7 linked regions of the Rattus norvegicus genome follow. The protein of the gene in region 6 interacts with the protein of the main gene of each other region in a pairwise test. Links are inferred from orthologs where the notes say so. Each region holds a gene or a part of one and is shown on either strand. Other genes may lie near its edges.

Region 1 (4,080 bases), about 23 Mb from region 6:
AGAACACACATTTAGACATGTGGACAATAGAAGAAAGATGTTTCCATCTTTGGAAAAACAGTATCAATCATATAATTAGTTTTAAAAAGTATTTTTAAGTAGGACAAAAGTTTTAGAAATAGGGAGAAGATTCTTTGTGAAGCCTCACTTTACATGTTTTCATTCACATTTCACAACCTTCAATATCTAATAATCGTACAGAAATTTAGCCTAAATTTTAATACAACAAAAATAAATACTTTCAACAATTTCTTCATACTCATTGATAGGTATACTGTGCTGGTCCTCAAAGAAACATTTCATTTATCGTCTTCTAATTAAAACACAAATCTGATGGGTAAATTAATTTCCATCTTCTCAAGTGGTGAAATATTAGGATCTTTAAATAGATTGTATTTCTGCATTTTCTACTGAAAACTAGAAGGCATTCTTAAGTATTTTAGGAGATTTGTCATCTCCAGAAAAATACCACATTTGCGCATGCCTCAATACTTATTGTCAACCTTTGAAAAGTTGCTCTACAATTGGAATTCCAATTTGCACCTTGTACAACTCGGAACTTCCATTCAACTTCACCTGTTTCACTGTCTCCAAACTGTATCTCTATTAGCAGGTTTCAGTGTACAGTTGGAACCGATGTCATCCAAGGCCATGTCCACACTGGGGACAGAAGAGCTAGGTACACGCAAAACTCTGAACAAGGGGACACATTTAACAGCTATTTCAACCATTAGCAACTTAAGTACATTAATGACCAGCACAAGTCTGTTTCCAGGGTGGACAAGGCCCAAATTAAGACTGCCCTCCCACCTTTAAAAAGAAAAAAGAAACAAACAAAAAAGGTATCACACACACACATTGAGATGTTTGCCCATTAAATTAGGCTAAGCAGCAGAGCATGAGCGTTACGTGAAGAGATGGATCCTTACCAGGTTGTGAGGCGGGAACGACTGTTCTGTAACCCCTACAACGGAGCCTGGCAGGAAGGAAATCACCTAAAAAAGAAACTGTCAGAGAGATTTAATAGTCACAGGTTATCATTAGGAGTTGGTTACAGTGTCACATTCATGCTTTTAGCTAAACACTTAAAAGACTTAATATTACTTTTTTTCCGCCTCTCAAATGCGTCCGGTGAAGATGTCCCACTAAGGTGTTTTACATGGTGTAAGGGTGTAGAAAGGGGTAAACGCGGATAAAGAGCAGATTACTTGACCCTACATTTTAAGAGAAGACGACGCCTTCCGAGCGCACGCCGAGCAGAACTCCACCGACACCTTATCCTTGTCCACATGGAGACACACTCCTCCCGCCGCGTCGTCCTCTTCCAGCAGCTCCTGAGGCTGCTTCCCAACCGGCAGGGCGTAGTCATGGTCACCGGCGGGCGAGTCTCTGAAGAGTGAAGTGGTCAGCCGCAGTCCCACGCCGCTCAGCCGGCTCAGCAGGCGAGCCAGTCCGGTCTCGTTGGCTAGGACAGCCCGTAGGTAGCGACTCTCCTCCTGCAGTGCTTGCACCCGTTTGCCCAGCTCCCGATTCTCGGCCCGCAGCTCCTGGTTCTCGGCTGCCAGTCCCCGGACTCGACTCTCCAGCCCCATCACATACTCCTTCTTCTTGAGCCGATTAAGTCGGGCAGCGGCCGCCGCCGCCTTCCGAGGACTCTTAGTCGTCGCTTGGTTGTTGTCGTTGGTGCCACCGCCTCCTCCCGGAGACTTTCTCCGCCTCTTTTCCCCGCCGCCGCGGTCGCTGCCGCTGCTGCAGCCTCCGATGCCATTTAACAGCCTCTGCAGCAAGTCAGAAAAGCGCTGCATCTCTGCGGCCGCGGTCTCGTCGTCGTCGTCCCCCCTCAATAGGCCACCACTATCCGAGCCTCCGCCGGACGAGGACAGGGGCCCGGGCGAGCTGAGCCCGGGCTCCAGGTGCCAGTCCGGTTGCCGAGGGTCCAGCAGATCGGCCAGCTCCAGCCCGGAGAGAAAGTCCATGTCCTCCTGCTCTTCTTTGGGGACCATAGCGATCGCGTCCTCCTCCTCCTCCTCCATCTTCAGTGGCGAGGGCGCGGGCGCGCGCACGGCCACGCTGCCGCGACTCCCCCTCCGGGCCTCCGGCTCGCCCCCGTCCCCGTGAGGTTGCTCGCGGTCAGGGGATCCGGGCCTTGACGTCTCCGTCCCCGCGGCTGCCCCAGTCGGGTCCGGGGGAGGCGCGCGCGTGGCGGGCGGCTCCTGGCTGTCGCGGCGGCTCGGGAAGTCGCGGCCCGAGGCTGCCAGCAGCTTGGTCAGGCTGTGCCTCATGAGGCTGAGCGGCGGGCCCGGGTAGGCCGCAGCCCCTGAGACCCCGGGCCCCCGCGCGCAGAGCCACAGCGCCGGGCCGACCACAGGCGCCGGGAAGGTCTGAGTGGCCTCCCGCGGCCGCCCAACCCCCCGCACGAGGCGGGGGGGAAGGCAGTGGAAGCGCGAAGCGGCGAGGCCCGAGAGGAGTCGGCCGCGCCACCCAAACAGCGGCCTGGCCGGAAGTTACTCTCTCCCCACCCCGCCCACAAAAACGCGCTTCTCTCCAGCCAGAGTGTCGCGAGATTCCGAGCGCTTTCGAGGTGCAGTAACTCCTGCTCTGCGGTGATGTCATAGGAGCCGCGGCAAAAACAATAAAACCTAGGTTTCTATCCCCCACATGCAGCGGTGCTACCCAGTACCAATCTCCGCAACCCAATACTTGAAGTCTAGACATATTTGACACACCTATATAAAAAGCTATTTTATGAGCAGTTTTATTTTTTGCTGTTTCTCTCTAGACTGCAAGAAAAACAACTATGGAAATAGTCCCTGCTAAAACAAAAGGCTAATCTTCAAATCTGAGAAACACAGTCAGGGACTAAACCCTGGGCGACATTCAGAGGTCCTTAGTCTCAGAAAATGATCATTGTTACTGCTATTATTGTTGTCATCGGACCAATTTTATTTTATCATTTATTTATTTGTTTTTGTAACAAGGGTCACTGCAGTATTAGCTGATTTGCCAGGAGTGGTTGGTTTGTTTATTGGTCTCTTGTTTTGCTGTTTTTCTTCTGCTTTTTTTCTTCTTTTGTCAAGCCACAACAGTTCCTTATCCTTATCCTTTTAAAATACCAACTTTTTGAAAAGACCAAGTCTTGAAGAAAACACTACTTCATTTTTAATAAAATTTAATTCATTTTTAATAAAATTCTGGACCCGTGGTTCTGGATTGCTCGTGCTGTTTCTCTGGTTTCATCCAGCATTTAAGAGCTGAAACGTTTACAAATGCTCTACAATTTAACGAAACACCACACCTTAGCTCCTGTTTTCCAAAAAAAAGCTAATGAAAGTACAGATGAACTAGAGAGAGAAGGGAGGTTAGTTGCTGAATAAAATTGCATGAAAGCATGCTTTAATTAAGTTCAATGTGAATTAGGATTCCTGTCAGTATGCGTTCGAGCTTGTGGGGACACACACACCCCCCAGTGCTAGCGCAGGGGTCCAGGGGATGGATGTAGCTTCTATGGGGTCTTAGGCTGGCCTCTGCTAATTAAAGAACTAAAAGCAGGAAAAACTCGAACATAATCAGCTATTAAAAATGAAACACACACACAGAGATTGGGGAGTTTAGTGTTCTTGGTGGACTGGGATCTGTCCCCCTCCTCCTCCTCCCATTTTGAATGGATGAACTTAAGCAAAGAAAGAGGAACCTACACGCCCAGCCACATCTTCAAGTAAACATTTTCAGGACCAGCTTCAACTAGGCAAGAGAAAAGGAATTACATGGCTTTGTCACAGGTAAGAGTGGTGAGGAAGAAGCCCGAGGGGGTGATCTTTATTATTTATCTGTGGCCCCTTCCCCTATGTGCCACCCATCAGGCAGCTGTCTGCTTCCTGATTCCTTACAGCACACTCCACCTGTTCGCACGGGGAAAGTGATGTCAAGACAAAACACCTGTTCCCAGAAGACAACAGAGGAAAGGGTTTATTTTTGTGCTAGATAGACCTTGGCCCAGAAACATATGATTCAGGATGCTCTGAATGACAAATTCCAACTTGGAAATAGTTTCATAAAAGCTACAGAAGAAAAGAAAGTCAT
Region 2 (3,500 bases), on a different chromosome or scaffold from region 6:
CTAGGCGCCTGACTCGACCCCATACACCTCCACAGAAGTCCACATTAGCACTCCTTTTCTCAGTAGGCCCTCATGGCCTCCATACTGCACTCTAATCCCAAGCAGGGCAGTTGATGACCTGAGTGAGCTGCATGTCAGGGGCCCATGTGTGCTGACAGTCACCATTATCATCCTGACTAGAGACAGAGGTTGCCATTGTCTGCACATGGTCTCTGGCCATCATACTTAGATATACTGGACACTTACTTTGTCCGGATTCACTGTTTCCAGGGATGTGTGCCCATCCCCATCCAGAGGGTGGGAAGTGACTGGGGGCAAGGGGCTAAGTGAGTCCTGCACAGTAGAGAGTCGGAATCTGTCCAGCAGTGAATAGAGCCTTTGGTGTCTGAAATACAAACAAAACCAGAGTAAAATAAACCAGAGTTTATTCTTTAGTCTGAAACTCAATTTGTACACAGGTGAGTTCTAGAAACATGTAATACCAACAAGCAGAAGCAGCTTCTTAACAAGGTGCACATGCTTGACCTTTCCCTTCAACATCCTAAAGTCACGACACACACTTAGACCCTACTTACTTTTAATTACCACAATTTATACCTCACTGATATTTTGCAGAAGTTTCATTTATGCCCAACATTCCATGAGGCAATACAATATATAACAGCTAATAAAGCTATTCTATTCTACTCTTTGTTTTCTTGGCAGTATTAGAGATGGAACCCAGGGACTTGTGCATGCTAGACAAGTGCTCTATCACTGAATTACACATTCCTAGCCATCATATTTGTAATATATACAAAACAGATAGATTCTTCTACGATCCAAGCGCACAAACTCCATTTAATGCTCCATAATGACACAATTCATTTCATTAGGAAGGGTCACTTCACAGAAAAATCATTTCATCTGGCCCAAAGATATTTATGATAATCATAATCATGATTATATCATTATATAATGATTAATAATTATATCAATATAATTTATGATGTCATAACCTTCCTCATCTAGGCCTCTGATTACATCTATTATCAAACATAATGACAATTTATTCTCTTACTATCCAAAACCAATGTGATACTATGTATGTCAAATGACAACATTGTGTGGCTTTGCAGACTGAAAAAAATTATCTAGACTATGCCCTGTCCCATTATGAAACACCCTCATAAAAACTCTAAGATTAAAGTTATGAGAGAACCACCCTCTTTTATGCACATATGCTCCCTATCCTATTAACAATGGCGGAAAAGAGGTAAAAGTTTTTCTTAGTTTATCTTGACTAAGGAACTACACTTATACTTCAGATTGAAATGTTTCTAATAAAGGTTTCTAAAAGACTTTCAAACAAATAGGCAAAAGAATTGCTATGAAGAGAGGTCACTTAACAATACACAAATACCATGTGTACATGCCAAGAGCCAAGTAGAGCTCTCATATTTATTCCTTCTAACCTAGCAATTAGGTTCTATGTTTATTCCCATTCCTAAAGGGTCCAGGAGCAGAGGCAACAAACACATTTCTTATCCCTTCAACAGTCAGAAAGTTCAGGAGCACCTCGTGTGTGCAACAGGTGTTTGATTGCTACTTCTTCATGTCTACTACAGTGAGACTTTCATGTGACAGTTAGACAGCCAGCTCTACTGTGGCACTGCTGCAGTAAACTCACTCTACACTAACTCCTTTGCCTGCCTCTTTGTTCCTGTACATATCTATGTGTTAATACCCAAATGCCTGTACCCCATGCTACAGTCTTACCTTTGTGCAAGCCCAGTGTTCTGGAGGTGTTCCTGGATTCTGTTCAGTTCCTCCTCTGGCAACTGGGCCATGCTGCTCTACACAGACAAGAATACATCAGGGCTTTTGTGATATGCACTTAAATAGGATAAAGTGCTACGCACAGTGTCCTAGTAAGAGACATTGGTCAGACACACAAATAACAAACATTGCACACATGCTCTTGTCAGTGGCTAATCAAGACCAGGTCAGCAGACCAAATGTTTTGACTGACTTTCTAAGTTTTGATATAAATCACCATTTCTCAGTACCTGTAAATTTGCAGCCAAAAGCATTTCTACTCGGCGACAGGCCAGGGTGTCGACCATGCGAGCCAGCGCACGGAAAGGGGTGCCCAGTAGCCTGTCCACATACAGTGTGAGCACAGCACCAGACTGGCTGAGATGGATGCCTTCCAAGCACTGAAGTGTTTTCTTCAGAGTGGTTGGCTAATGTTGAGAAGGAACAAAATTTATTATTCCTCAGACTTGTAACTGGTACTGACAAAATCCCAGTAAGTTGGACAAAGCAAACTGGCAGGCTAAAGACTTACAGTTGAAAGATTTTCACAGCGAGACTGAATTGCCTGGATAAAAAGACCACTAGCTGCAGAATTACGATGAATGGCACTAATAAAGTCTTGAACTGGAGGCTCGTGGGACAAGCTGATCAGATCTTGAATGTGATTCACAATGAGCCATGTTAAGTGTTCTGAGTCATGGAGATTCTGACACTAGAAAAGATATAATAAAAGATACATTTCAAGTAGACAAGAAGGCTCCAAAGAAAAACACACTCCAAATACAAATTTTGCCTTGGTGAAGACAAGTGTCTGAGTACAAGTAAATGAGAGAAAGGAAGGAAACTTATAGAGCCTCACACCTCGATCACATGTGGTAGAGGCCACAGGAAGCCAAGAACTGAGGGCAATGTCAGCTCCCAGAGACACTAGCAAATGCCTCAATATCAGAGAATTGGCTCCTTGGACACGCCAAGAGGTAGCTGCCCACAGGAGCAAGGTGAGCAGTCTGGTGTAGCCCTCCCTAGTGACTGGCCTGGAGTTTGCATGCATGGAAACAAAGGAAGCCCCATGTTGGAATAGAACTTGCCACCAGATTGCAGGCCAGCCTAGCATGGGCTGCTTTACTTACTCTGTCTGTAATGCTCAGTGGCTAAAACAGACAATAAATGCCACAGATTTGATAGAGTTCCTGAATCAAAAAACACAGCTGCCCAATACATGGGAAAATGTCACTTAAGGTTTTTTTGTTTGTTAATAAGAAAAATAAATAACAACCATAGTTAAAAATACAGGTAACCTGCTGGGAGGTGGTGATGCACATCTTAGTCCCAGCCCCTGGGAGGCAGAGGCAGGCAGACCTCTACAAGTTTCAGGGTATGAGGTTAGCCTGGTCTACAGAGTGAATTCCAAGACAGCCAAGGCTATAAAGAGAAACGCTATCTTGAAAAAAATAAAAATTGACCAAACAAACAAACAAAATATGCAACCTTTCCATTTGTAGGATTAGTTCATAATCCTAGACAGAAGCCAAAGCCTGATCGAATCTTTGACATCTGGTTAATGCTAATATTTTTCACTTGCAACTATTTGGATAGTATTAAATTATAAAATTATTCTTTCTTTGTAAAAAACACCACTATACCACATTTCTCAAAAATGGAACAAAATATAAAAATGACTTCAATATTGGGAGTGTCAAGTA
Region 3 (4,300 bases), on a different chromosome or scaffold from region 6:
CTTAAACATACTACTAATATTTATTTTCTCTCTTTTTATCTTTTAATATTTTTCTCACCCTTATTATGAGAAACGTTCAAATTTATTGATACTGTGAAGAAATGTTGGCATGAATGCCTTTGTGAGTTTTTGACTTTTGTTGACTATTGGGCCATCTGCTCTCTCTTCCATAAATCCGACAACATATATCTCCTCAGAATGAGAAATTCCTCCATACAACCACAGTGTCATTAAAAAGTTTAGCATGGGCCAGTGTGATACCTCATCACAACGGCAACTGCTGCCAAAGACCTGAGTTCTATCCCCCGGACCTACATAATTGAAGGGGAGAATCTACTCTACAAAGTTGTCCTTTGATTTCTACATCTTTGCCAGGATACCAGCACCCACACATACACATACGCATGCACCCACCCATATGCATACACACATATACACACATACATATATATGCACACATGCACACACATACACATGCACACATGTATACACACATATACACACATATGCATACATACATATACATGCATGCACACACATACACATGCATACACACATGCACACATACACAAGGACACACATACACATGCACACATACATACACATGCACACATACACAAGCACACACATATATACACATATGCATACACACATTACACACATACACAAGGACACACATACACATGCATATACACATGCACACATACACACGATAATAATAATAACTATATAATTTGAGGAAGAACTTTAGCAACCTATTAGTGAGTTCACTGTCAATATTCAAATGTCCCTTTACAATTCTGTTCCACCGGGGTCCAGCTCATATTGGCAACTAGAAATGTCTATATTGCATATATGCCTTTGTGGCTTTCACTGACTCCTTTTTCCTCAAGGCACATTTCACATAGCTCAGGCTGGCCTCCAAGCTGCTATGAAAGTGGAAGCTGGTCTTGAACTCCTGATTCTCCCATCTCCAGATAACAAGTGCTGAGATCACAGGCATGTGCCACCGTGTCTGGTTGTGCTATGGGTTTCTGGTAGACTTCATCTCCTGGAAGACCATAGCTTTGACTTCCCGATAGATCCCAGTCTCCTGTGCTCTGTTGGTTCCCCTTGGATGAGGTGAGGGAACCTGGAGGTCCAAACAGCAGGATGAGATAGCGCTGAGGTGAAATAAATAAGCTGTTTAAAGTGCTTCCTTCTATCAGTGGGAGATGTGTAGTCATGATAATAAAAAAAACAAACAAACAAATGCTGGCTCTATTTTTCCTTCCCCATGCATGTTTTTTTCTTCAGTAACCTCTCATAGGCCCATAGAGGCATCGCCACAGTTGCTTGTGCCGTGCACACCCGAGCTCAGGAGCCTTATCTGAGTCCCCACACTCCCGTGCCCACTGGACTTGTGCTGGCTGATACCTCCAATCTCCCTGGAGACAGGTGGCTATGTTGAAGAGCTGGGGTGGCAGCAGTCCTCTGTGAGTCAGGCTCCTCCCCGACCCCAAAGGAAAGATCTCTTTCAACAGTGGACTGCAGAGAGAATACACACTTATTTTTATGTTTTTTTTCCTGTGAGCAGCTTCGGGTAGACAGAAAGAGACAGTGAGACCCAGGCCATAGGAACTGGTCCGGAGAGTGAACTTATGATGCTGTGAGCTCCTGGGCCCTCCTCCTCTGCTATTTCTACATCTCCGCTGTTGGCAGGAGTGTGTCTGCTCCCAGGAGAGTCGAACAAGGGGTTCTGGTGCCAGAGATGTAACTGGGCCCCTTGTCCGAGTGTGTGTGACTGTACTAGTGTTCAGGACTGACGTGGATGAGAGATGGTGACTTCCAGGAGTCAGAAGGCCCAGTAGGGTTGACATGGCCTCAGCTCCTTCCGTGACTAGCCTGGCAGATGAGGTCAACTGCCCCATCTGCCAAGGCACCCTAAGGGAACCAGTCACCATTGACTGTGGCCACAATTTCTGTCGTGGCTGCCTCACTCGCTTCTGTGAGACCCCAGGCCCAGAATCGGAAGAGTCCCTCAGCTGCCCGCTCTGCAAAGAGCCCTTCCGTCCAGGGAGCTTCCGGCCAAACTGGCAGCTGGCCAATGTGGTGGAGAATATCGAGCGCCTTCAGCTGGCATCCACAAGAGGCCTGGAGGTGGAGGATGCCTGTCCGGAACACGGGGAGAAAATCTACTTCTTCTGCGAGGAGGATGAGGCACAGTTGTGTGTGGTATGCCGCGAGACTGGACAGCATGGGGCTCACACTGTGCGCTTCCTGGAGGACGCAGCAGGTCCCTACAGGGTAGGAGAGGATCCCTGCAGGGTAGGAAAGGGCTGTGGGGGACCCTCGGGGGAGCTGGATTGGACTAAGGGAAGTAGAAAGGTGGGAAAGGTGGTGTGGATTCTGGGCTGGATGGGGTATCCTGACTCCAAATTCTTTCGCCTTATTTAATCTCCCAGACATGTACTCTAGCACAAAGAAGCACAGGGTTCTAATTAAGAGCTCTACGTTGTTTCCTTGTGGGCCATAGTAAATCCTTTCCAAACGAATGAGCCATCAGATGTGTGTGTGTGTGTGTGTGTGTGTGTGTGTGTGTGTGTGCGTGCGTGCGCGCGCGCGCGCGCGCGCCTGTGTCCTGTATCAGTTAAGTGTGCTTGAAGTTTGTATCTTAGGGACTGACGATGCTTGTATATTTACAAGAGCGAACAGCTCGTTTGTGGAGGGGTGGTCTGAGCATGTTCTATTTGAAGCATGTCACGGAATGTTCCTGTTGCAAATGAGCTAGTTGGGTGACTGTTGGTGGCATATACATTCATTCTTCATTTAATTACCCATTAACCATTGCAGGTTTTAGTTGCTTTTCTGCCGTATTCTTTCATAAGTAGGCGCTTATATGTATGATGTGGCAATGTGTTCTTTTGATATAGTAAGACCAACTTGCCTCAGACTAATATATATATATATATATATATATATACCTCCTGGACGCTGGGGTTATAGGCGTGTGCTGCCACACTCACAGGGTTAGGGGTTGAACTCGGGGCTTCTTACTTGCCAAGCAAGCACCCTAATAACTGAGCTGTACCTCAGTTTCTAAACACACACTTGTGTGTTTGCTTGTTCCTAACTCTAGAACAATTTATAAAACCGTGGATCAATTATTTTTGCATCTAAGTCCCTTCTTGTATCATTTCTAGATTATCATTCTAATAAAAAGGGAGGCGCTGTTTGCATTTTTTCCCCTCTGGGTGAGAGAATTTCATTTTCACTCAGGAACACGTGGAGCTCAGACCGTAGGTGATGCAGAAGAAAGTAGTAATTTAACCTGAAAAAAGGGGGCTCAAAGAGGGAGGCAAAGTCCTGACCTTTGATGATACATGAGAATGGGGGAAACCCTGGTCACCATCTCTGGGGAACGAAGCAGGAGTCATAAGACTCGAGGCCAGCTCTGGTGGTACTTAGTCCTTGATCCTAATGTTTGGAAAACGGAGGCAGGGGGATGCTGAGTTTGAGTTAAGTCTGGGCTACATGAGATCCAGCCTCAAAATCAGAATGAGAACGAAGACCCTGAGTATCTCCAGGTGCTGGGTTCACACTCATCTCCAGGGCATTTTGCTCCCACCGGTTGAAGGGAGTGACCTTCCTTTACAGTTACTTTCCCCTCATCTTAGTATTTCATGCTCCTTCTACCCAGGAACAAATACAGAAGTGTCTCGTGTGTCTAAGGAAAGAGAGAGAGGAGATTCAGGAAACCCAATCAAGAGAAAACAAAAGAATACAAGTGCTCCTGGTACGTCTCCACCCTCCCCAGGCCCGGCTCCTTCCTCCAGAGTCTGAGGCCCACAGAGCAGAGACTTGAAGGTGCTTTGAGTCTGGATCCTGACTCTGGCATTGTTTCCTCCATCAATTCGCTAGCTTTGGCTTTACTCACTTATGAGATGGAGATTACGGATCATTTCCTTCTCCAATCACTGCAGGAATTAACGTGATCCTACCTCTAACAGCCAGCCTAGTGGTGTGTGCGCAGTGTGCAGGGCAAGAAGAGGCCAGGCGTCTCTGGGGTCTTCTCTAAGCCCCTTTTAGAAGCCACGGTGACAATGATAAGGAGACGATGCTGGGCTGTGTGGCTCCCGGAAATGGAGTGACAAGCAAGAAGAACACAGTTCCACATCCTTATAGGGACGGGGAGAAGGCGGGAGTAGGGGGTTCTGATTTTACTACCTAACCATGGGAGGGGTGTGTGTGTGTAGATCAAGAGGGAAATGGGAATCTATAAGGAAAGGGAAGAAAGTGGGGATGAGATGCCACAGGAAGA
Region 4 (4,022 bases), on a different chromosome or scaffold from region 6:
TCCCCTTAGTCCTGAGTCTCTCACCTCCCAGGTCTCTGGTACATTCTAGAGGGTCCCCCCTCCTCCTTCCTCCCGAGGTTGCCTGTTTCCATTCTTTCTGCTGGGCCTCAGGGCTTCACTCCTGTTCCCCCCCCACACACACACACACTACGGGATCATGTTCTCCCCTTCCCCTCCCCGGCCCCCGTCGCCCCCAGGTCCCTCTTACATGTGTTTGTTTTGACCATCCACCTGCCTTCACCATTCCTTTTCTTATACGGCATAGCCACCACATTCATTCCATATGTGGGATTTAATGAATGAACCTCTACACCAGTCCTTAGATTTCATTGATATTGTGTTCATTCATCCCTCCTTTGGTTTCCAAACCATTAGTTGGATCTACCCACATTTCCATCTTTTGAAAGCTGATCTGCCCTTCAGGTTAGAGCCAATAAAATGTTGAACTCTCTCCCTCTCCCTCTGGGTATTCATACAAAAAACATGAGGAGCACATTTAATTCACTTTGCAATTTCAACATTTATTTCTGATACCAAAACTTGACAACACACAAGGAAAAAAAAGTAATAGACAGAATAGCAAATAAATTTATCTTGCATGCCACTCTCAGTCAACAGGATGTGGCTCTCTAGATAGCTGTGTTTTGAAGGAATCTGAGGCTTCAGCCTCACTCAGGGAAAACTATTGCAAATGATGAGCAGTATCTGTGAACATAAGAAATGGGGGAAATAATTCAATTAGCTGTATAAGTAATAAGACCACAAACACCAAAGAGTACTCATACTCAGTACTTCCCTTTTCTCCACCATGGGCTGTACATTACTAGCTTAAGACTGTGAATACAATTCCCCCACTGAGCATATATCGATCCCCCGCAGAACCCTACCTGCTTAATTGAAAGTGATTTACTTACCTGACACTTTACTCAACCCAGAAGAAGCCAATGGCACCGAAGTTGGCGGCGAAGTTGGCGGTGGCAGTGCCGCTGGGGCCAATGATGGGGCCGGTAAAGGCCTGGGGAAACCTGGAGCGGGCATTCTGGTGGTATCTGGCCCAGAAGGTAAAGGGGATCCTGGACCAAGGATCTCCAAAATCTCCTTCCTCATCCCAGGTCAGCAGCTCAAACTCAATGTCATCCCAGCTCCAGGGCCCAGACACAGCCTCGTCTCCAATCCCCATGCGGTTTCTTGCTTCGGCCCGGGCCTCTGCCTCAGCTGCAGCAGCATCCAGAGCATCCAAGGCTTCATCTGCAGCTTCCATGAACTGTGCAGTCCAGTCACGAGGGTCTCTCTTCTGAACCTGCAATGAGAAATAAAAAACTAAACCAAACCTTATACAGTAGCCAAGATACATAATCAGTAAGAATGCAAAAAGAAAATACTGTATTATACACAATGGAATACTATCCAGCCTTTAAAAATGAAAATCCCAGTATTCATGACCATACGGGTGAAGCTGAAGGACGTTATAGTAAGCAAGACAATACAGAGACAAGTACTGTTTTTATTGACAAGTGGACAATCTAAAACTAGACTCACGGGCATAGACTAGAATGGTGGTTGCCAGGGTTAGCTTACGTGGGATGAAGAATAGGGACATATTCATCAAAGTGTATGAACTTGAGTTCGGTGTAATGATTAAGCTCTGTATCTATTATGCAGCAGAATGTCTATAAGGTAATGACTACTGTATATCTGTAAACTGCTTTTTCTTGTGTGTTACTATGTGTGTGCACATACATGTGCAAGTATGTGGAAGGACAGAAGGCAACCTTGTTTGTTGTTCCTCAGGTACTATCCTCCTTATTATCTGAGACAGTGTTTCTTAACAAGCAGGCTCCAGTGTGAGCCCATGAGCCCCTGTGAGCCCCTATTTCCACCTCCCAGCACTGGACTGCAAACACGCACCATCCCCTCCCTCCCAGCTTTTTACGCAGGTTCTGGGGACTGAACCCGATTAAGCTACCATGGATTCCGCTATTACCTCTGCAATGAATCTCAGCACTTTCATCTTGCTAGTCTCATGGTAGGAGCGGAGGCCCCAGAGGAACTCATACTCAGGAGGGTTGCTGTTGGGCACTCGTCTGTAGTCCAGGTATCTGAAGAGGAAAAAGTCTGTGTTTATGGGCAGTCTGCAACAAAATACATGCTAAATAATACTGTGCTAAAGTTGCTGCTTCAGGTTTTTATCATCTTGGACTACTACTCTTTCCTGAGAATGTGTACTATGAGAAAAGAGGACAGGCTTTACTAATAACTATGCTGTAAAAACATTCCACCTCAAAGCGTGTCTTCAGTAAACACTTCTGGATAATTCTGTGAACCTACAGGAGTGCTGTAAGTCACGTTTAAAGAACCTTTTCTGATGCAGACCAAGCAGAGCCAGAATTCTAAGGACCACTTACTTCTGCTTTACAAACTCGTAAGTAAGAAGTTTCCTCAGATCGCCAAGGAGGGGATGTCTGACCCTGATGGTGAAAAAGAAAACGACAATCAGAGATTCTGCCTGAAGAAAACTAGAGAGTTACAGACTGTCTTCCTATCTAATCTCATCATAATTTAAGACATCCCCTGCTGCTAAAGGATACTTCAGATGAAGGAGCCCAGTCGTACCCAGGACGTAGTCCCATCTTGCGCAGTGCTTCCCAGAGGACGGCTGCAATAGGAGGCAAGAAGAGAGAAGGCATGGAAAGTGAGCATGGAAATCAGACTGCAGCCAACCCCCAGCTCCAAGTCCAGTCACTCACCCTCAGTGGCACGGTTGCCATTCATGAAGATAATGCCCAGAATCACTAAGAGGAGGCCTAGCTTCGGTGTGTCTTTGGTCCTAGAGGAGTACAAAAAGAATACAGATATATACACACCCAGCAGCTGTTTACACGAAAAACCCCACAAGCTTACCAATTTAGCTTCTCCAGTATTCCTCAGTGGAGATCATTATGCCCCCACTCTGCCCATGACCTCCTATGTGACTGAATACTGAAACTCTTAGGCAAAAAGCATCACCAAGGAAGGCCATAACACATCCCCTTTCCCATCTTACGTTCCCAGTATGCCAGCCAGGGATTCAGGGGTACTGATGAGGATATACAGATGCTCTTCTTTGTCGATTTCCTTGAGCTGGATTCCAAATTTCTACAGAAGCAAGCAAATGACAGCACTTAGCATAACGTGCCAATAGGCAGGCAGTCACAGCGCTGTGAACCTTGTCCTCAACTCCAGTAGTTATCTCACACAATGGAGAATTTGACCGTCATTCTAGTTTCCCAGGTGTGGCTCTTTACCTTCTCCAGGACAAAGCATGCGCGTTCAATGATTTCTGGATAAACATCAGTGTATTCTCGGATGATATCTCTCAGCATTTCTGTAGGAGAGAAGGGAAGCACCAGGACTGAGCTGGAGCACAGTAGCAGCCCCTTGGCCAGGCCTGGTAAGGACAGCCCGGTCAGGCTCCTCAGAGGTAGAATCAGCTATGGGAGGGAGTGGACAGGACATCAGGGTCAGGAGAAGGGCCTACCTGAGCGCTTGATGGGCACCTTCGTGTAGTCTTTAAGCATCAAGTACTTGACCAGCTTATTTGCCTGGGGGGAAATAATTCAAATTAGGTTTGCAGAACACTTGGTTGATTACAAATGGAAGGACCACAGTAAACAAAGTGGAGAGGTATAGCACTTACTCTTTCCTGAAGAAGGGCCACATCTCGGGGCTGTGGAGGACCCTGGTTCTGTGAGGCACGAGAGTTGGGGGAGGATCTCAGATTAGGTGAGGGTCGTAAGTTCTGCCAGTCGGGTGGAATTGGCCAGTCGGCAGGGATCCAGTCAGGTGGAAAAGGCCAGTCAGAGGGAAAGGACCAGTCAGGAGGCATTGACCAGTCAGGTGGTAACTGCCAATCTGGAGGGCCTTGCCAATCTTGAGGGCTCTGCCAACTAGGTGGAGCCTGCCAACTGGGTGGGCTCTGCCATCCAGGTGTACTCTGCCAGGCCATTGGGTTTGGCCAGACAATTGGGCCAGGCCAGACAATG
Region 5 (4,111 bases), about 120 Mb from region 6:
TCCAGGGCAGCCAGGGCTACATGGAGAAACCCTGTCTTGGAAAAGCAAACAAACAAAACAAAAGAATTCACATGTACAGCTGAGCATAGGAGCACAAGGTTAGAATCCCAGCTGTCTGAGGCAAGAGGATCCCTGAGTTTGAGGCCCACTTGTGGTGCATGGCACAACCCTGTTTGTTTTTGTCATGTCCCCCTACATCTCGTGTGTGTGTGTGTGTGTGTGTGTGTGTGTGTGTGTGTGTGCACGAACTATCTGCCTAAACTCATACTGCATATTTTCATGTACGTTTTCACAGATTCTCTTCATTTTTATGGTCCTGTCTATGTACTCACACCACAAGTGTACACATACACACTCTCTCATGGAGGCCTCTGTCCACTTCTTGGCCCCTGAGCTACATGATGACTTCAGCAGATGCCTAAGTCTTGGTCATCGGCAGCCTTGGGACTGGGAGGGAGTTCCGGGTGCAGGCTTGCTATCCTTCCCAGGAAGGAGCAAGACTGAGGATGGGGGGTGGGGGTGGAGCCATCTTCCTTGAGATCCTACCAGATGTGGTAATGGGCTCCTGCTCAAATTCCATAGGAGTTATTCCGAAGATCAACTAAAGCAGGAAGGTTTATAAAGGTTGACAGTGGGACAGGGCCTGTGTAGGCTACCTTAGTCCCAAGTGATGGCAGAAGCTAAGAGTTGACATAGAAACAAGCACAGCCTATATCGACCTCTGGGAAGTAGGAGACCCCAGAGGGCATCTGTGGGTTCCTAAGACCTGTGAGGTTTCCTGTTTGGCCAGCTCCACCCTCAACGCCGCCTGAGTGTCTGGGAGAAACTGAGGCCTAGCAGTGGGAGGCTGGACAGTGCCTGGCTTTGGTTCTTTGTTCCCTAATTACCATCTGAGTTACTGATTGTATCCCTGACTTGTCCTCTGCCCAAATAGCCCAGGAATGAGGCCACCTGTCCCAAGAGAGTAGGGACATGTACTGGGAGCTAGTAGTTAGGGATCTCTGCCCAATCTGAGACTTCGCTATATAGGGGATACAGGTTTGGGCTTAACTGGGTCTCCTCTGTCAAGGAACCCTGCATAACCTCTTAGTTCTCCCATTCTTTCATCTCTGTTTGGTTGAGTTGTTCCTTATCCTTGTTCCAGACTAGAGTTGAGGCCCAGAGGGACTTGAGGTTCATTGCCAGTTCTTGGGAGGTGAAGCTGTTTCACTATATGGGGAATGTTCTATCTGGAAGAGGGGGTCAGGAGAAGGCTAATAGGGGGAGGATCCTCAAGGTGCAGGGACTCTGACGCCAATGCCTTGCTCGCAGGTTGCCCTGGAGGCCCCTGGCCAGGCCTGAACCTCTGCCACCATGGCCATTGTGCACACTCTGCCAGTGCCACTGGAGCCCGCACGTGAGACAGCCACTGCCCCACAAACTCCAGCAATGGGCAGCGTGAGCAGTCTTATCTCAGGCCGGCCCTGTCCTGGGGGACCTGCTCCTCAACGCCACCATGGTGTCCCTGGGCCTACCTTCTTCCGCCAGCAGGATGGGCTGCTCCGGGGTGGCTATGAGGCCCAGGAACCACTCTGCCCAGCTGTGCCACCCAGGAAGACTGTCCCAGGCAACAGCTTTACCTATGTCAATGAGGACTTCCGGACAGAGTCACCTCCCAGCCCAAGCAGTGATGTCGAAGATCCCCGAGAACATCAGGCACACAATGCCCACCTCCGTGGGCCCCCACCAAAGCTCATCCCTGTCTCTGGAAGGCTGGAGAAGGTAACGGGCAGCCCTCTTGGGAGGATCTGGGTGGGGTCGAGCTCCCCGCTGGGGAAGCTAGAATTTGGAGGCATGGACTCTGTCTTATCTCTCTTTCTGGCTCAGGGAGATAACCTGTCTGAGCCCCATTTTCTGTGTCTTTACAGTTAAGGTTAGAGGATAATCTTTATAGGCTCCTGTTAGAATTAATACTCCCAAATGAACAATATAGTAGTTCGTGTTTCTCTCTCTCTCTCTCTCTCTCTCTCTCTCTCTCTCTCTCTCTCTCTCTCTTTTGGTGTTTGAGACAGGGTTTTTCTCTGTAGCTTGACTGTCTTGGAACTCACTATGTAGACCAGGCTGGCCTTGAACTCACAGAGATCTGCTTGCTTCTGCCTCCCAAGTACTGGGATTAAAGGCATTTGTTACCACTTCCAGCCAAGTTGCTTTAGTTATTATAGAGGTGTGTGGTGTGGTATGGTGTGGTGTTGTGTGTGTGTGTGTGTGTGTGTGTGTGTGTGTGTGTGTGTGCGTGCGCGTGCGTGTGTGTGTTTGGGCGAAGCCTTTGTTTACCTTTATTCTGGGACTGACTCTATCCTGTTTTTAGTAGGAGAGGAGGATAATGTTTTGCTTGCGTGGCTATTATCATGATTAAAAATAAGCATTTTGAATTACTTAACATAAGTAGACGTTTAGAAACGGTGCCGCCGGGGTTGGGGATTTAGCTCAGTGGTAGAGCACTTGCCTAGCAAGCACAAGGCCCTGGGTTTGGTCCCCAGCTCCAAAAAGAAAGAGAGAGAGAGAGAGAGAGAGAGAAAGAAAGAAAGAAAGAAACGGTGGGAACCATTGTTTTTCATTTATAGGGGTGAGAACCCTGTATGGGAAAGCCAAGTAGTATGATGATTTTGTAAGATCAAGGTGGGCCAGAGAGATGGCTCAGAGGTTAAGAGCACTGACTGCTCTTCCAGAGGTCCTGAGTTCAAATCCTAGCAACCACATGGTAGCTCACAACCATCTGTAATGGGATCCGATGCCCTCTTCTGGTGTGTCTGAAGACAGTGACAGTGTACTCATACACGTTCCTAAGTTCAGATCCAGTACCCATATAAAAAGGTGGCCGTTGTGGCAAAGGACTGGAATCTCAGCACTTGTCAGGCAGAGACAGGCAGATCCCTGGGGCTTGCTAGCCAGTCAAGACTAGCTGGATTGATGAAATCCAGGTCCAGAGATTGTGTAAAAACTTAGGTGGGAAGTGATTGAGGAAAGCTCCTAACTTTGACACTTTGACATTTGATCTTCACACATAGGCACCACGTATCCATACTCATACATATGCACCCCCCTCTGTGTGTGTGTGTGTGTGTGTGTGTGTGTTTTGAAAGATCAAGTAAGCAAAGTGGGCTTGGTATCACACACCTGTAATCTTGAAGGGCTTGTGTTCAAGGGGATACATAGTGAGTGGACCCAGGCCAATAGAGTAAAACCCTGTCTCACAACAATACTAAATTTTTTAAAAAGAAAGGGGTCGGGCAGATCATCCTCACAGTGTCACATGCTACCTCATTTCAGAATATGGAGAAGATCCTGATCCGACCAACAGCCTTCAAGCCAGTGCTACCCAAACCTCGAGGGGCGCCATCCCTACCTGGCTTCCTTGGTCCTCGAGCTGCTGGGCTATCTGGGAGCCAGGGCAGCCTGACACAGCTGTTTGGGGGGCCAGCCTCTTCCTCCTCCTCTTCCTCTTCCTCCTCTGCTACTGACAAACCCTTGGCACTCAGCGGTTGGGCCAGTGGCTGCCCTTCAGGAACACTGTCAGACTCTGGCCGAAATTCTTTATCAAGCTTGCCCACCTACAGCACCGGAGGTGCCGAGCCAACTGCCAACTCCCCAGGTGGGCACCTGCCCTCCCACGGCCCTGGCCGAGGGCCACTGCCTGGTCCAGCCCGAGGGGTCCCTACTGGGCCCTCCCATTCAGACAGTGGCCGGTCCTCCTCCAGCAAAAGCACAGGTTCCTTGGGGGCTCGTGTAGCTGGGGGGCTCTTGGGCAGTGGGGCCCGGGCCTCCCCTGGCAGCAGTTCGGGTGGAGACCGCTCCCCACCCCCTCCACCACCTCCACCCCCTTCGGATGAGGCCTTGCTACACTGTGTCCTGGAAGGGAAGCTTCGAGACCGAGAGGCAGAGCTGCAGCAGCTGCGGGACAGTGTGGATGAGAGTGAGGCCGCCGTGTGTCAGGTGCGGCCAGTGGCAGTCCTGGGGCGGTGTGGCTGAATACCCAGGGCCTAGGGACAATTCCTGTTGGGGAGGAAGAGGGTAAAGACTCATGATGTGACACCCCCAAGGCTATGAGCATAACCTTCAAAGCAGTGAGGAG
Region 6 (4,231 bases):
ATACCGACTCAGTACTGTGCTGTATCCCAGGCTGTTGGCTGGCGTTTAAAAGGCATCTTCTTGCCTTACACTTCCTCGTCCATCCAACCCGTGATGGTTAAAGAGAGTCTGTTTTAACAGGTATTATGGTCTAAGCACTGGGAGGCTGAGATTCAAGAACTCGAGCTGCCCCGCCTGCCCACATGACTTGGGCAACATTGACAACCAAGAGCTCAGAAAAGCTTTATGTTCTCCATCTTTGTCACGCATGGCTCTTAGACTACTTTGTGAGTGTCAGGGGCAGACAATCCTATCCCTATCTTGTTACTTCTACTTCCATTTTATTAAGGGGAATGAAGCTAGAGAAGCTAATACTTGGATAATACCACAGGGCTAGAACCAGGACCCCAAAGCTGGTAACAAGTAACAACTTGCTGAAACTGTGCATCATACTGGCTTGCTCCGACCACAATCTAGAGCTGTAGGAAGCAAAGACTCTCCTTTGAAATCCACAGAAGGCATGTTATAAGTATCAATTCTTGTGAGCAGGTGGGGCAACACCTTCAACAGATTGAAACACATTTTTTCACTTTGCAATGGAAGGGAGGTAGAGAAAGAATGTTTGAAATAATTTAACATGTCAAAAATATTTGTTATTTTTGGGCCTGTGAGTCTAAGGTTAAACTTTGAAATAGGTTTCTCACTTTTGTTTTTAGGATTAAAATAAAACGGTTTGTTTCATGCTGCCTTGTAGCTGTCTTTGGCTACTTTGTGGGTTCTTTGTTCCTTCTGCCCTTGTCCACCTTTTCTTTTTTAAGAATTATTTATTTATGCATATGAGTACACTGTAATTGTCTTTAACACACTAGAAGAGGGCATCAAATCCTATTACAGATGGTTGTGAACCACCATGTGGTTGCTGGGAATTGAACTCAGGACCTCTGGAAGAGCAGTCAATGCTCTTGACCTCTGAGCCATCTCTCCAAACCCCTTCTCTACCTTTCAACTCCCTAACACTATACAGGGGAGAAAAAAGAATAGAGGGAAAGGGGGTGACTTTATCATTAGACTTTTTCCTGCTGATTAGAGGCATGGAGTTCCTTGGGGCAAGTTAGATCTTCACCGTCAGGATACCTATTTTTTTCTTATTTCTTCTTTGTGCACGACTATTTAACCAACGTCGACCAAGTAACACCCCACCCCTTGGGGCCCTAGGATTTATACACTCTCTCAGAAGTCTCCAGAATTCTAAGTCACACAATCACAGACACTATCTGCAGCTGGCAAAATCACGCTCCTGAATGAGGCGAATCATAGTCAGCTGCTGTGGACAATCTGAAGCAGCCCCTGTCCCACACCTGGGATGAGAACAGTCACACAGTCCTTCTTCTGTGTTTTTCAAGAAACAAAAATTCTCACTACAGTGCCTCTTAATATTGTATCCCAAATACATAACACACACACATATCCAATACAGAGCATCCATAGGTTGTACCTAACATGGATTTCTTTTTACTAAAATATTTTTTGTCAAAAGTGAGCCATTATTTTAAGATTAGAAGGCTCTCAAACAACTAAAATCAAAGCTACCTTATGATCCAGCTACACAACTCCTAGGCAGGCTTATATCCAAAAAGCCCTACATTCTACTCCAGAAGTGGTTGGACACCCACGATTACTATCACTCTATTCAAATTGGCAAGGACGGTAAAGGGAATCGGCCTACATGTTATCAAAAGGGGAACAGATAATCAACATTTAGTACACATACACGCTGGAATTTTATTCATCCACTAACAAAACCGAAACTATGAGTGAGACGTTCGGGAAAACGGAAAGAACTGGAAAATATATTAACTGGGGTAACCTAGGATCGTTGACTGAGGATCCCAGCTTTGAACTGTTAAATATCTACATCTAGAAGGAAGTGGGCAAAACTGGGGAGTGGGGAAGAATCTCTGAGGCAAAGAGGAGGGGAGGGTAATAGAACTTATGTGATACGAAAGTAGAAACGGGGGTGGGGGGGTGGGGGGAAGTGAGAGGGTACCCGGTGGGGGAGGGAGATCAACCAAACATGGGTTTGTGAGGAAACCTGTTACTTCATAAGCTAACGGAAACAAGCAGGCAAACTGGAGTTTCACATAAAGATCTAGATTCCTGGGGTTTCTGCCTTTGAAACCTCAGAACACCTATCAGCTTTAGGGCAATTGTCAGGCAGGGTGGACGGTCAGCCTTCCCAGCAAGCAGGGAGCTGGCGACCTCTCCGGAGACTGCTCTCCGGGCTCCACTGGCACCAGGGCACAGCAGTGTAGTCACCGGTGCGGTAGTTTTTCTTCCTAAGAGTAGATTTCTGTATTTGTCTCTCTTCCCTAGTGAGACGGATGGAGTAGGCAGAGGGACGGGATTTTCCTGACCCGGGCCACCCATTGCCAAAGTTTCACCTAAGGCATGGTTGGCTATAGGACGCTGCTACTTCACACCCCATTTGCCACATGCCAATAGCAGTGGCGGGTCTTCTGATCTCGGAGATGCTTAACTGCCAAAGGAGATGTGTGTTTCTGAAGGGTGCAACACTACCTGTCTGACTTCTGAAAGGATTTGAATCAGTGACCTTGCTTTAGATTCACACTTTCAGCGCGCGACTGCGCCCTATAGGAACACCTTTCCTTTAAAGACCTCGGCTTCAGTTCACTTACTTGGAGCTACACGCTTATCATCGGCTGCCTTTCTTTTCTTTGTAACAGCCATAGCTGTGGCTCAGAATTTCACTAGAAATCAGCCCAAGGCCCCATACACCACCTTCCCCTTCGCAGCTTCAAAGGCCTCTCTCAGTCTGTACTCACAACTGCCAGTCAGACTCACCTAATCAATGGATGCTATTCCTTCTTCCAGACCTGCCTAGTAGAGTGCAGAAACACATGATAGGCCTTGGATCATAGTGAGAAGAGGTCTCAAGTGGAAGGAAGACTGGGGTGATGTTTCAAACATTTAATAGCTGGAAGATCAAAGGATCCATTCACCTGCTTAGGGGGCAACCATTCAAGAGCAGGGACCTGAAAGTCCCCAGGGTTCCAGCTCGTAGCTTTTTTGGTTGACTCATGGGAAGGTGTAGCAGGCCTAAGGGAAAAGTGTAGACACTCTCAGGTCAATGGCTCTTAGGAAATAATTATTATGATGGTGTCAGAGTATATTAGCTAAGTAGCCTGGCCCAGATAAAGATAGGGCATTGGGAAATAACACAGAAAAACAGGGAGGACAGAGGCTCAGCAAAATGTAATTAAATCCACAATAACTCCAGAAACTGAACTAAGAATTTAAATCATTTACAAACTTGGGTTTCAGGTCCAGAGCATCTCCAGTGGTGAAGTCTACCAAGACATAAAAAAAAAAAAAAAAAAAAAAAAAGGAAGAAAAATCAGCTCTACAAACTGCAGAAAGCACAGATGAGAGCCGTCGGAAATGCAACACATGAAACCAGTCAGACACACGAGACAGGGCAAATCATTATCTTTCTGAAAGTGTATATTAAACTCAGATATAGCGACGTAGAGACAAGGCTATATAGTGCAGCCTCAAAGGTCTATTAAAAGAATGGGAAGTTGGGTTGACATATGAGTTATGCACTAGAGTCACAGAGAAGAAAACCACCTCGTCTTGATAGGTGCAGGGAAGATGTTTCTTCCTCTTTCTACTAATTTTTCTTTTATTTTTTTTTAAATGTGTGTGTGCACGTATTTGGTGTCTCCACCTTAATCTTTGAGACAGGATCTCTTCAGACTTGATTGGCTGGACCAGTTGACTGATGAGCTTGATCATGCAAAGAACTACCATGGCCCAGCTTCCCTGTGGGTACTGGGAATCCAAACTGGGGTGCTCGTGTTTACACAGAAAGCATGTTACCAACTGAGTAATCTCTCTCAGTCTCTCTGCCCCGCCGTCAATCCATCTTATTATGGAGCCCAGTCTGGCCTTATCAGTTCTCAAGCCTGTGTCTCCCAAGTACCTAGAAATCGAGCATCTGCCATCAGACCCAACAAGCTAACAGTGACTGTCTTGAATGCTTTCCTCTTGTGACAGGGAACAAGAAGAGGAGGTCCTCTCTCAACACCCGTATTCAAGCTTGTGTTCCAATCAGAGTAAGTAGGCAAGAAGAATAAAAGCATAAGGGCCGAAAAGGAAGAAAGAAAACTTTTATTATGGCATGATCCTGTAAGTAGAATCCTAGGGAATCCTGGGACAACAGATATTAAAA
Region 7 (3,500 bases), on a different chromosome or scaffold from region 6:
TCAGAAGAGTGTTCGATTCCCAGTAGCCACGTGGTGCTTCACAACTGTCTGTAACTCACGCTTGTGGAGCACAGACATATGTAGACAGAACACCACTCCGTATAAATAAGTAGAACAAAGCAACCCTGAAGACTGTGACCTCTGGTCCCAGCTACTGGAGAGGCTGAGCCCTCTCAGCCCAGGAGGTTGAAGCCATCTTAGATAACATAGTGTCACCCCATCTTAAAAACAAAACAAACGGACAGAATCACAAAGGAGACAGAAATGTAGAAATGCCTTGGGAAAATGCCAAGTGTGATTAGGAAGAGGAATTGTCACTGGAGAATATCACCAGGCCGTTGGTGTTGTGCCAGCGGCTGCTTCAGCCTTTCATGTCCAAACTCTGCTTTCTCTGTCTGCAGTACAACAAGGACCTAACCAAAGAGCGAGACGCCCTCAAGCTGGAGCTATACAAGAATGGGTAAGAATGGGAAGGCGGCTGGGCTCTCTGCAGCCTCAGTGTGGAGAGTGGAGACTCAGCCCAGACAGGCTTGGGTTTGTGTAGAGCTGAGCTCTGGTCCCAGCCATGCTCCTGACTCATGGTGTGGTCCCAGGTAACTCAGTCTCTGAGGCCTGTCGCTTGTGACTCAGTGCTCTGTCCTGTGGTGCTGTGGCAGGACTCACACATCACTCTGAAATGGGCTCCTTTCTGTTCTTGATTCCTTCCTTTCCACCTTGCCACTGGCCCCAGCAAAAGTAATGAGGACCTGAGGCAGCAGAACTCAGAACTGGAAGAGAAACTTCGAGTCCTGGTGGCAGAGAAAGCAGCTGCACAGTTGGGGGCAGAGGAGCTGCAGAAGAAGTTAGAGATGTCAGAGCTGCTGCTGCAACAGGTGAGAAGTGCAGCCCTCACCCCTAAGGCCCAGGCACAAAGTCTGTGGCTCCTTGGGGGTGACCTGCGGCCAAGTATGGACAGTTTGGAACCTCCTCCTGTCCTGTGCTGATGCTGTTTACTAATTGCTCAGTGGAGCCCCCGCCACACCTGTGAATCAGAGTCTTAGTGAGGGTGATGTGGCTGTTGGATCCTTACTTTATTTATTTATATTATTGTTGAGACAGTCTTATCAGTAGCCCAGGGTGACCTGTAACTTACCAGGTAAGCCTTGAACTCATGGTAATCCTCCTACCGTAGCCTTCCAAGTGGGAGGTTGTAGGCATGAGCCACTAGGCCTGCTGAAATGCCAGCGTTCTGTTTCATTTAAATGGCCCAACAGGAGTCTGCTTAGCTTTTCCTGACACTTTCTCCTATGGCAATGACCCTGGGTTGTCATCCTAGCTCACACTCTTGTGGGGAGCACTTCAGCAGAACAGCATAGGCTCCCAGATCTAAGCCCTCCTTTCCCTCATGCAGTTCTCTAGCCAATCTGAGGCTTCTGGCAGTAATGAGCAGTTGCAACAGGCCATGGAGGAGCGGGCTCAGCTGGAGAGCCATGTTGGCCAGGTGAGGATCTGTGGGGGGAGGGGAAGGGCATGATCCCCCCTCCCCCCGCAATGGCCCTTGGTGAGGACCTGTGACAGCCCTTCATAACTCGTATATTGACTGATGCAGCTGATGGAGTCACTGAAACAGCTCCAGGTGGAGAGAGACCAGTACGCAGAGAACCTGAAAGGAGAGAGTGCCATGTGGCAGCAGAGGGTACAGCAGATGGCAGAGCAGGTGAGGCCTGGCCTCTGGAGTCTTCGCTCTTCCTGGGCATCAGTGTCGTGGAGCTGAGGGCTTAGGGGCTTCAGTTTTGCAGAGGTGGGACTGGGGATGGGTGGGCCTGGGATCTCCAGCACCCCCACCCTGTGCCTTGGGCAGGTGCACGCACTGAAGGAAGAGAAGGAGCAGAGAGAAAGTCAGGTACAAGAGCTGGAGGCCAGCTTGGCTGAACTCAGGAGTCAGATGGGTGAGTAGGGCAAGGGTGACCTGAGAGCAGGAGTGGGTCGAGGAGCCATGAAGGTGGCTTCCATTGCCCAGGGGGGCAGGTGGGTGTAAGGGCATTGTAATGGGGGCAAAGGGTCTCTGCCAGGACGAGGTGACAAGCCTTGTCATCTCTCTGAGCATGTGCCTTTCTGTGCAAAACAGGGTGGCATGCCTACTACTACACCTCAGCAGGTGACTGAGCATCCCAGATCTGTGCTAGAGTGGCTTGAAACACTTGCCTCATCTGAGACCCTGACAGAAAAGAAGCCAAGGCTTAGGGCAGGGAGCCTGACTCACAGTGCCTGCTTCCTTTCTCAGAGGAGCCACCACCTCCAGAGCCTCCAACTGGGCCTTCAGAGGCCGAAGAGCGGCTGCAGGGAGAGGTTGAGCAGCTGCAGAAGGAACTGGAGGGTCTGACGGGTCAGCTGCGGGCCCAGGTGCAGGACAATGAGAGCCTGAGCCACCTGAACCGGGAGCAGGAGGGACGGCTGCTGGAGCTGGAGCGCGAGGCCCAGCACTGGAGCGAGCAGGCAGAGGAGCGCAAGCAGATCCTGGAGAGCATGCAGAGTGACCGCACCACCATCAGCAGAGCGCTGTCACAGAATCGCGAGCTCAAGGAGCAGCTGGCTGAGCTGCAGAACGGCTTCGTCAGGCTGGTGCGGAGCCTGCAGGCCCTCCTTGCTTACAGGGAACACACTCACCCCTTTTGGTCAGCACCGGCAGAGGATGGGGTGCTGTCCGCCTCACGTTAGGTGGTAGTGGTGAAGGCACCCCACAATCCCGAGCCCTAGGGTGTGTGGGAATGATCCAGCAGCCTTCCCTACTCTGAGAGGGAGTACACATGCAATTCTGGGGACTCCAGCCACATTAGGTCCTACTGACTGTTGCTTTCTGTCCAGACAAATGAGAACATGGAGATTACCAGTGCGTTACAATCAGAGCAGCATGTCAAGAAAGAGCTGGCCAGGAAGCTGGGAGAGCTTCAGGAGAGGCTGGGAGAGCTGAAGGAGACGGTAAGGCCTACTACATGTGGTGTTGGCCACCAGACCTGGGGAGGGTGGGTGCAAGGCCCATCACAGATTAGCCACAGCCTGGAACAGGTATCCCTGGACTGCTCTCTATCCAGGAGCTGCCCTTTTATAGTCGTTGTCCTTTTATGCAGGGCTCTGGGTTCAGGCTGGATTCACACCCATGTGTTCAAGTGCTTCCCATCTCCAAACCTAGTCACTGAAGTTAAAAGATGAGTTTTCTCATAGAGGTGTTAAAGGTTTAATGAGAAAATGTGCATAAAATAACGGGTACTAGTAGGTTTGTGCAGAACAGAATGGGTTAGTTCCATCTGCTTTTCCACTCTTGGGGCCTAAAGGAGTGAGAAAGGTGACTATGTGAGGCTGGGTACAAAGGCAGGCGCTCAGGCCGTGGCAGCCAGCACTGCCTGCCCTCAGCCCTAGCCTTCCTGCAGGTGGAGCTGAAGAGCCAAGAAGCACAGGGTCTGCAGGAGCAGCGAGACCAGTGCCTGTCCCACCTGCAGCAGTACGCTGCCGCCTACCAACAG

Evidence for each region.
Region 1: the proteins of Ttc23 (region 6) and Crebzf interact in binary tests that used the Homo sapiens proteins (3 or more experiments, as listed by UniProt). The two-hybrid records come from large-scale screens. The link is inferred for Rattus norvegicus from reciprocal best matches to the Homo sapiens genes TTC23 and CREBZF.
Region 2: the proteins of Ttc23 (region 6) and Htt interact in binary tests that used the Homo sapiens proteins (3 or more experiments, as listed by UniProt). The link is inferred for Rattus norvegicus from reciprocal best matches to the Homo sapiens genes TTC23 and HTT.
Region 3: the proteins of Ttc23 (region 6) and Trim10 interact in binary tests that used the Homo sapiens proteins (3 or more experiments, as listed by UniProt). The two-hybrid records come from large-scale screens. The link is inferred for Rattus norvegicus from reciprocal best matches to the Homo sapiens genes TTC23 and TRIM10.
Region 4: the proteins of Ttc23 (region 6) and Maged1 interact in binary tests that used the Homo sapiens proteins (3 or more experiments, as listed by UniProt). The two-hybrid records come from large-scale screens. The link is inferred for Rattus norvegicus from reciprocal best matches to the Homo sapiens genes TTC23 and MAGED1.
Region 5: the proteins of Ttc23 (region 6) and Lzts2 interact in binary tests that used the Homo sapiens proteins (3 or more experiments, as listed by UniProt). The two-hybrid records come from large-scale screens. The link is inferred for Rattus norvegicus from reciprocal best matches to the Homo sapiens genes TTC23 and LZTS2.
Region 7: the proteins of Ttc23 (region 6) and Golga2 interact in binary tests that used the Homo sapiens proteins (3 or more experiments, as listed by UniProt). The two-hybrid records come from large-scale screens. The link is inferred for Rattus norvegicus from reciprocal best matches to the Homo sapiens genes TTC23 and GOLGA2.

The regions. Positions count from the first base shown.
Region 1 is NC_086019.1:153,828,482-153,832,561, reverse strand, and holds the start of Crebzf (CREB/ATF bZIP transcription factor), read right to left. Parts: upstream 2,801-4,080; 5' UTR 2,283-2,800; coding exon 1,215-2,282; 3' UTR 1,008-1,214; coding exon of another isoform or gene 992-1,007; 3' UTR 1-991.
Region 2 is NC_086032.1:80,101,169-80,104,668, forward strand, and holds part of Htt (huntingtin), read right to left. Parts: intron 2,510-3,500; coding exon 2,330-2,509; intron 2,226-2,329; coding exon 2,049-2,225; intron 1,836-2,048; coding exon 1,759-1,835; intron 386-1,758; coding exon 247-385; intron 1-246.
Region 3 is NC_086038.1:1,700,670-1,704,969, reverse strand, and holds the start of Trim10 (tripartite motif-containing protein 10), read left to right. Parts: upstream 1-1,500; 5' UTR 1,501-1,857; coding exon 1,858-2,286; coding exon of another isoform or gene 2,287-2,307; intron 2,308-3,679; coding exon 3,680-3,775; intron 3,776-4,300. UniProt on the Homo sapiens protein: E3 ligase that plays an essential role in the differentiation and survival of terminal erythroid cells. May directly bind to PTEN and promote its ubiquitination, resulting in its proteasomal degradation and activation of hypertrophic signaling.
Region 4 is NC_086039.1:63,415,964-63,419,985, forward strand, and holds the end of Maged1 (melanoma-associated antigen D1), read right to left. Parts: coding exon 3,677-4,022; coding exon of another isoform or gene 3,646-3,676; intron 3,582-3,645; coding exon 3,518-3,581; intron 3,392-3,517; coding exon of another isoform or gene 3,365-3,391; coding exon 3,285-3,364; intron 3,136-3,284; coding exon 3,044-3,135; intron 2,828-3,043; coding exon 2,748-2,827; intron 2,657-2,747; coding exon 2,614-2,656; intron 2,469-2,613; coding exon 2,406-2,468; intron 2,100-2,405; coding exon 1,985-2,099; intron 1,301-1,984; coding exon 923-1,300; 3' UTR 915-922; intron 706-914; 3' UTR 501-705; downstream 1-500. UniProt on the Homo sapiens protein: Involved in the apoptotic response after nerve growth factor (NGF) binding in neuronal cells. Inhibits cell cycle progression, and facilitates NGFR-mediated apoptosis. May act as a regulator of the function of DLX family members.
Region 5 is NC_086019.1:253,830,788-253,834,898, forward strand, and holds the start of Lzts2 (leucine zipper putative tumor suppressor 2), read left to right. Parts: upstream 1-1,311; 5' UTR 1,312-1,353; coding exon 1,354-1,761; intron 1,762-3,309; coding exon 3,310-3,972; intron 3,973-4,111. UniProt on the Homo sapiens protein: Negative regulator of katanin-mediated microtubule severing and release from the centrosome. Required for central spindle formation and the completion of cytokinesis.
Region 6 is NC_086019.1:130,664,486-130,668,716, reverse strand, and holds the start of Ttc23 (tetratricopeptide repeat protein 23), read right to left. Parts: upstream 2,801-4,231; 5' UTR 2,728-2,800; coding exon 2,676-2,727; intron 1-2,675. UniProt on the Homo sapiens protein: Participates positively in the ciliary Hedgehog (Hh) signaling.
Region 7 is NC_086021.1:35,995,283-35,998,782, forward strand, and holds part of Golga2 (golgin subfamily A member 2), read left to right. Parts: intron 1-401; coding exon 402-460; intron 461-730; coding exon 731-872; intron 873-1,390; coding exon 1,391-1,480; intron 1,481-1,588; coding exon 1,589-1,696; intron 1,697-1,840; coding exon 1,841-1,928; intron 1,929-2,263; coding exon 2,264-2,601; intron 2,602-2,844; coding exon 2,845-2,958; intron 2,959-3,407; coding exon 3,408-3,500. UniProt on the Homo sapiens protein: Peripheral membrane component of the cis-Golgi stack that acts as a membrane skeleton that maintains the structure of the Golgi apparatus, and as a vesicle thether that facilitates vesicle fusion to the Golgi membrane.